Linked DNA regions of Coturnix japonica. The protein of the gene in region 1 purifies or fractionates together with the protein of each later gene. This does not show direct contact. Links are inferred from orthologs where the notes say so. Each region holds a gene or a part of one and is shown on either strand. Other genes may lie near its edges. The genes, in order: CDK13 and CCNK.

Region 1 (3,815 bases):
ATTCTAGAAACTGATGTAGAAAAATTAAAAACAAACAAAGAAACTGTCCTTTGGTATCCCTTTAAAAACTGACACCAACATTTGTCATAGTGAAATGAAAATGATGACTTCTCAAGAAAGAATAAAGTTGCTCACTTGGAAGAACCATGCTCAGTGCTGACTGCAAGTACAGTAGGATAATTCTCATAGTTTCTTGATTGATCCAAGCTGTTGTTGACTAAATACCTGTCAGGTCTTTTGACCTGCTGTTCTGTGGAGGAAGACAATGTAGAAAGCAACTGTCAAAATTTCCTTTCCAGTGATTCTTATCATCTGTCACCTCATTTTTTACACGTTCCTGGGTGAGAGAACTGCTCAGACAGTTACTACTAATATGCAAAGGGAAAACAGAAGGACCTGTTTTAATGCCATATCTCAGTATTTCCATAAGCTATGGGATGGGATTCTGTGTTCCTCAAGAGATCCGAATTCGGATGCCTGTAGGGAGGAATAATAATGAGAAGACTGAACTAATGTCAGATGAGTTCTGTAGAAGATATTTTTCCCCTGTTTTTATCTGTCTTAAAGGACTAGAGGTATCCCTTGTTCTTCCTAGCCACCTAAATTTGTTAGTGTTAAATACTGTTTATTCCTGCCACATTTTTTTTTCCCCTTTTTTAGTTGCCTATGCTGTATAGTTACCAATACTGGATAGCTACCTCTGTTACTGTGAACAAATGTAACTGCACGGATGTGGTGCTTATACAAGCAAGAAAGTGACATTCTCATAGTAAGATGCACGTTCCTGTTCTTTGCGAGAAAGATCTGCATTTGTGAAATAGGCAACTGAAAAAGAGATTTTACCCAGGAAAGCGTATCTGGCTTTGGATGTTTCCCAGTGTATTTCTAAATTCCAGCAGGTTAATCTTTTCAAATGCTGTGTAATGCATAATTTGAATGTGTATTTTACCATGGTGGTTAAAAAACATTTTTTGTAAATCTGGTATAAAACTGATGATCTCTAATTGTTCTTTGCAGCCTTCCTTTGTGGCAGGATTGCCATGAGCTCTGGAGTAAAAAACGCAGAAGACAGAAGCAAATGGGCATGACTGATGATGCAACAGTGACTAAAGTCCCTAGGAAGGATCTGTCTCTAGGCATGGATGAGAGCAGAACCAACACCCCACAAGGCATGCAAACTTCTTCCCAACTCAAAACTCAGGGCAACTCTAGTGTAGCACTTGGTCAGTAATATTTTCAGTTCTTAAAATTACTTTCTGCTTGGATTGCACCTTTAGAAATTTTAGGTGTTATTTTCAGAGTATTGACGTCTCCTGGATTCTTGAAGGAGGGAACATTATTGTAAGTTAAATCTTTGTTACAAAAGATTTGCCTTTATTTTTGGGAACTAGGCATTACTTTTTATTCACATTATTTATTTTTTTAAATCAAGCCAGAGCAACTATCTTGCTTTGTATTTTTGAGGAGGTTTTATCCCATACTCACCAGTAAATCTTCTGTAATCCTACTAGTTTGTTCATACTCTAAGTTCATCATAGTCTTCATAGATTGGGGGAGCTATGTTGGTACTGAAAAATTGGCAAGAAGGCAGACTTTATAACAGCCATGACTTCAAATAGAAGAGATTACCTCAGCATGTCACTTTAGCCTTCATGTTTCCAAGCTGTTTGCGCTAAACCAACTCAGAAAAGAAACAATAAACTAACAAACAAAAACAAACCAACCACCCAAATAACTTATTAAAAAGTAGTAACTACCTCTGCAGCTTACACAGCCAGTAATTCAGAAACTTAACTGAAATGTCTTGCTTGGATGCTTATGTAGTGAAGAATAATATAAATAGTAAAGTAATGGTCTCCTTATGTGGAAACCAGTTGAGATGATCAGCAATGAATACATACCTGGTAAGTTTAGTTTAGACCATTTTTAATTGCGCAAAGTGACCTTAAATCCTATGACACTTACACAGATGTTCATCTGCAGAAAATCAATACATGGTTCACTGAGCATAGTAGTTCTTGAATACTAGCTGTCTTGAATCAACTCTTCATTTAACAATGGAGCAGAACTCCAAATATACTATGCAAAGATAAACGTTAAATATGTACATATTGATATTTTCATTGTATTTTTACTGCAGGTTATTGCTTCTTGTTCCTATTCATCCTGTTTCTTACTACAAGCTGATAAGCTGGCTGTGAGCTTCTGCCACTCACTCTGAACTAATATTTTGGCTGTATTTTCAAAGATGTCTTTCTATAGCCCTTGCAACTTTATCCCTACAAATGAAAACTGAGTTTTAAAGCCCAGTGGATAGTAGTAGTTTTCCTTGTGCTTCTGTAGCAGTTAGCATGTTGCCGACCTACTGTATTAATCAGACATAAAAACGAAACATTTAAAAAAAAAAAAAAAGGGAAAGAAACCTTTCAGAGCTAAAATACTGTTTGCACATGATCGGGTAGAAAAGTATATCTAGGTATAAAAGAAATTTTCATTGGAGCCTAGACAGGTCAGCATATAGGTGTTTTCTGTATTAAGTGCAGCTCTTCCTGAAATCCTGGTAAACCTTAGTTAAAATCATCCATAAGGCATGCTAAAGGATTAAGTGTACAAATGGAAAATGCATGCTTTAAACAAAACTGTTGCTTTTTTTTTGTGTGTGTGCCAAAAAGAGGTTAAAACTAGATAAATTGCTGATGTTATGCTTCATGACTGAGAACCCTGGTTATTGTATCTTATAATTTAACAGGAACTGCATACAGCTCATTCATTTTGTTCTGGTAGAAACTGATAGGTTTCCCAGAGTATAGTTTGTTCTTGGAACGGACTTGAAACTAGCCAAAGAGTATGTAACAGGTAGGTTAGTTACCTTTTGGGGGTACTTTCTGCTGAATTTGCACACTGACAAACTGAGAGAAATTTGAATGTACTTTGTTATCTTCTTGAGCATACCATCCTCAGATATCACAAAATACTGTTCAGCGTGACAGCTGGGTGAAGTCCAGCAGTACGAGGCATTAAAAATAGTAGTTTTTATCTACTGTTAAATAAAGGATGGTTTTATTTTTGTTTTTAGACATATAAAATCTTTAAAGTCCTTAGAACCTTCCAGAGTAGTGTTTGCATCCTGGTGTACATCCACAAGTAGGGTAATTAATTGGCTGTGAGTTTTGCAGCACTTTCCAGCTGTGCTCTTCTTAGTCTTGCAAGGCAACTACTTAATTTTTTGTGTGACTGTTTTTCTCAGGTGTGGCTTTGAATCTGCCAGAAATGAATGTCTTAGTGTATTAACAGGAAGGAAGAATATGCTCATGTTGACTTGGGTTAAACAGACTTGGAGAAAAACATATCCATTTTAATTTCCACCTTCTTTCTTAAGATCCATCTAGTTGTGGGGCGTGTAGCTTCACTTCTCCTTTCAAAATAAACTGACGCAGTGACTGCTTGAAATTCAGAAAATACTTCTGTATTCTGACTAACTTTCTTATCTTCCCCTTCATCAATCTCCTCTTACTTGTGTCAAATAAACACAGTTATATAAAACAAACAAACAAGTGTACCTTATCAACCTACATTTTCCTGCTACTCATTGATATTGACTTGTCCTTCAAGCTCAGCATTTGCTTTCTTGCACTGATACTGCTAGCTTCTGGGTCACCTACAGCCTGGTCACTGGAGCAGGTGTTAGAATCCAGATGCTGAATTAGACAGGCCAGAATGTGACTGGAAATGCGTTTTGCAGATGGCCACTTTTTAACAGAGGGATGTGATATGTCAAGGATAGGAAATTTTGTGGGGATTGGAAATCTTACAGC
Region 2 (4,391 bases), on another chromosome or scaffold:
ACGGCCATTTACTCACCTACAGGAGTTTCAGTACACTTTTTATTTGGTTTTTAAACAAGCTTACAACTGAAAGGAGAAGAGTTGAGATGTCAAAGTAACGTTGTTAACACCCATAGAACAGAGGCATCCAAGAAGCATCTGGATAGAGAGCTAGAAGATATGGTTTAGAGGTTTTCTGTAGGTATGGTAAAGGGAGGACGGTTGGACTAGATGATCTTGTAGGTCCTTTTCAACCTTGTGATTTTATGAGGCATCATTTGAAGAGACAGGTTATATATTACATATATATATATATTACACATTCTCAGAAGGGAGACAGAAGTTGCACACAGCTTCAACTCATGAGCAAAATCAAGTTCATAGAAGAGCAGGTACCAGGCTTCTCAGCCCAAACTCTATGCTGCATAGAACAGCTTCCAAAACGAAAGCTGGGATTGTTCTGACAACTCTGTGCTGTGTTTGGGCAGCAAATCAATTGCAAATTGAGGAAGCTGTTCAGAACTAAAGACAACTGCAGACCACAAGCTTCACTTAAGCAACCCGATGAGTGCATGGGCGGGAAGAGGATGAGGAACAGCTGTGCAAAGTTGGGTTTCAGCAGCACCGAGCTGCCCAAAGAGCGACTTGCTTGCAGGCAAACAGCTTAAAGGGGACTCAGAAGTTATTTGACGTTTGACCCAACGCTACGGCCCCCCGCCCCGGATTTAGTGCTGGTGAACGGGAGGGTCAGAGGGAGCGAAAGGAAGGAGCGGGCAGCGTGATGGAAAGGGAAGGGATGACATCACGGGGAAAGCAGCTCCAAGCCGGGCGTCCCGCTCCGGCCTCCGAGGGCCAGGCTGGAAAGAGAGGTTGCACCGGGCTCAGCACAGCCTCATCACAACGGAGGGAGAAACGCGGCGGAGGGAGGAAAGCGAGGGGGCGGCGAGGCCTGGGCCGGAGGAGCGCAGGAAGGGAGGCGGCGGGGAGGGCCGCGGAGGGAAGGGCTCCGGGAACGAGCCCGCCGTGCGGGAGGCCGAAGCCCGAGGGGTCCCGGCACCGCCTGCACTTACCTCCCGCACGGAGCGGCCGCGGCCTCGGCTGCTGGGAGCGGCGCCGGACCCAGCCCGTCCCTCCGCCGGACGCCGCTGCCCGCGGGTGGGAGGCGGAGGGCGAGTGAGGCCCAACCCCGCACGGCCAGCGCACGGCCCCGCCCCCGTGCTGCTATTGGTCAAAGCACGGCCACAAGGCAAGCCCCGCCCCCAGCGGGACGCTCGGCAGCCAATCCGCTGCCTCGCCTGTAGGCACTAAAAAAGGGCATGGCGGCTCCCGCATTGGCTGGGAGAGAGCTCACTCCTTCGGCATCTCATTGGCTTGCGAGGTTTGCAATCTTGTCCTCTAAGCCCTTTGATTGGTCCATTCTAAGGCGAGGGGAGACTGCTCCTCGCGCTTAGCAGCCACTGAAACAGACGGGATTGGTTGCGGGAAGGTTCCGCCGCTTCTCATTGGCCGCCGCTCGGGGCTGGCGCGCTGAGTCCCGGTGACGTTGACGTGACGCCGCAGCGAGCGGACCGACCTGCTTCCCAAGATGGCGGCGCGCAGAGCGCGGGGGCCGCGCTGTCGTTAGAGGCCCGGCGCTCCACAACGCTCCGCTGTCCCACGCGAGGCCTGTGAGTGCGCGGGGAGCTGGGCGGCCTTCTACGGGTGGGGGCCCGCTCCTGAGGCGGGGAGCGGGGGCACCGGGTGTCTGTGTGAGCGGGGGAGGTGGCACGGAGCCGGGTGCGAAGGCCGCTCCCTGAGGGGAGTGCGAGGGAGCCGTGATCGGGGACCCCAGGGCTCCTCGGGGCTGGCGGGGTCCGGAGGGGGCGGCCCCGGGGCGCTGTGTGCCGGGGGGGGGGCGGGGAGAGGCGGTGTCGGGGCTGCGGGGCTCCGCACGCGGAAGTGGCTGTGACAGAAGCGGGCCCGGCTCTTTAAAAAGCTCCTTAAAAGTCGCCGTGGGGAGGAACCGAAACGGCTGCAGAGCCGTAAATGAGGGGGGGAGCCGGACAGAGCTGTAAGCGGCTGTTGGCCTGTGTGTGACAGCGGGCACAGGGCTGTGTCAGCACGGCGAGATGGGGAGGCCCTTGAGTGCAGTGATTGTAGGTGGCACCTGACCAGACAGACCTATCTCAGTTGCCTTGATCTTCATGATCTTTTTAACATGCATCTCTACTCTACTGTTTTTTTCTTAAGTAACTCAAGTGCAGATGATTTAACAAAGGTTTTATCCAAGTGTTGCCATTCTGGTAGTGTTTCCAAGAGACCCAGTAAAGTGCTGACAATAGCAGGACACGGGGAAATGGTTTTAAATTAAAAGAGGGAAGATTTAGGTTGGATGTTAGGGGGAAGTTCTTCTCTAGGAGAGTGGTTAGACCCTGGAACAGGCTGCCCAGGGAGGTTGTGGATGCCCCGTCCTTGGAGGTGTTCAAGACCAGGTTGGACGGGGCCCTGGGCAACCTGATCTAGTAAAGGTGTATGTTTGGTGGCCCTGCCAGGCAGGGGGGTTGGAACTACATGATCCTTGAGGTCCCTTCCAACCCGGGTCATTCTGTGATTCTGTGTTTAAATTCCTTTCAGGCTGACCTAACATATGTGTCCTGGTTTATGAAGAGTGATTTGATTTCATCTCCCTCTTTCAGCTGTTCAAATCTTGCTGCTGCTATCACTAAATTGTTCAGTCTTATTTTATGGACAAAATGGATTAAAGTTGTTCTACAGAAAAGTAGCAGGTGCTTTTGATAAAACGTTGAAGTTTCTCTATCAAAGAATTGCAAAAGTAATCATATATAAATCTAGTCTTTGAATTGTATTTGCATTATGTCAGGAAGATGAAAACGTGGTTAAATATTACTTGTCTGTGAGCATGGAAAAAAGATTCCCCTTCATTTTAACATAAGTTCTTTTTGCTTTTCTTAAAGGTTCCAAAGCTCCTAACTGGAAACTTTTTTGAAGCCATATCAAGCAAGATCAGTTCTAATAAATGAAGGAGAATAAAGAAAACTCCAGCCCTTCTGTAAACTTGGCAAATCTGGACCATACAAAGCCATGCTGGTACTGGGATAAGAAAGATTTGGCACATACACCTTCACAGCTTGAAGGGCTTGATCCAGCCACCGAGGCACGGTACCGCAGGGAGGGAGCCAGGTTCATATTTGATGTGGGAACACGTTTAGGGCTGTATCCTTTAAACTCCTGATAAAGTGTTGATGAACGGGGGTTTTAAGAGTTAAATATTGCAGAATATGTGTAGCTAGTTGTTCTAATGTTTCTTTATCATGAATCAAAAATCTTTCTGAGTGTTACTTGATAGTTTTAGCCATTTGTTGGGTAATCAAGGTGTTTTCTGAGAAGCAAGAGAGTTTAGTTTTGTCAATTATGGATATTCTGGCGGTTACCAGATATGGCCTCTTATATGATTTCTCAAACTTTGAATTTTATGTTTATTTTTCTATATTGTTTAACTTTGGAGATTCCAACCTGTGATCCACCACCCCCCACTTTGTTTTTCTTATAGGGTGGAATCTACAACTTTATGTATGTTGGTAATTTCTCCCCATTGTCTCAACTCATGGATACCACTCAAACTTTTTGCTTGCTATATCCCTGTTACTTCTTTTAATCCCGTGAGTTCTTTGTTTAATAGATCTTGAAGATATAATTTTGCATTTATTCTGGCAAAGAATAGTAGGGAGCCCGTTCATGTTGCAGCTGTGTTTGTAGGTATGAATATTTAGTAACTATTTCCTGCAGTAACAGTTTCATGAGGTGTGATACAAAGCGACACTTTTACTCCTGTTTGTGCCTAATTCTGCTTTTGACCTTCTTGATGATGGTGCTTATCACGCAGATGACCACGCATAGATGTGATATGGGCTTTTCTTACTCCCAGTAAATGCTTTAGGTGTCGGCTGCATCTGGATAGAATTTGCACAATCCTAAGGGGGTGTGGCTTCTGTTTCTCTTTTAATTGCAGTGTTTTTCAGCCAGTCGCTGAGTGGACAGTTCCTTGAGATATTTGATATATCAGAGTGTATCTTTTTCATTGGGTGTGTTTGATTTTACATTTGTTCTGTGACTTTCTTGAAGTTCCTTATCCTGCACCACAGACACTATGATACTTTAGCAACAGGAATAATTTATTTCCATCGGTTTTATATGTTTCATTCCTTCAAACAGTTCCCAAGATATGTAAGTATTTACAATATTGATTACCTAATACTGTGATTACATGAAGGATAGGCTTTCTGAAATGACTACAAGTCGAGGGCATTACTCCTTGCACAGCTCTTGCTGAATAAAATGATTAAATATTAACTTTTTATCTCTTATCAACACAGCTCCTGTTTATTCACACATTTTTTTATGGTTGGAAATGT

The links.
Region 2: the proteins of CDK13 (region 1) and CCNK purify together in Homo sapiens (affinity purification with mass spectrometry; 4 studies listed by BioGRID and IntAct, counting the BioPlex papers as one, with this or other methods). This does not show direct contact. The link is inferred for Coturnix japonica from reciprocal best matches to the Homo sapiens genes CDK13 and CCNK.

Annotation. Positions count from the first base shown.
Region 1 is NC_029517.1:76,677,218-76,681,032, reverse strand, and holds part of CDK13 (cyclin-dependent kinase 13), read left to right. Parts: intron 1-1,017; coding exon 1,018-1,223; intron 1,224-3,815. UniProt on the Homo sapiens protein: Cyclin-dependent kinase which displays CTD kinase activity and is required for RNA splicing.
Region 2 is NC_029520.1:43,658,434-43,662,824, forward strand, and holds the start of CCNK (cyclin-K), read left to right. Parts: upstream 1-1,511; 5' UTR 1,512-1,646; intron 1,647-2,725; exon of another isoform or gene 2,726-2,744; intron 2,745-2,933; 5' UTR 2,934-2,995; coding exon 2,996-3,192; intron 3,193-4,121; coding exon 4,122-4,203; intron 4,204-4,391. UniProt on the Homo sapiens protein: Regulatory subunit of cyclin-dependent kinases that mediates activation of target kinases.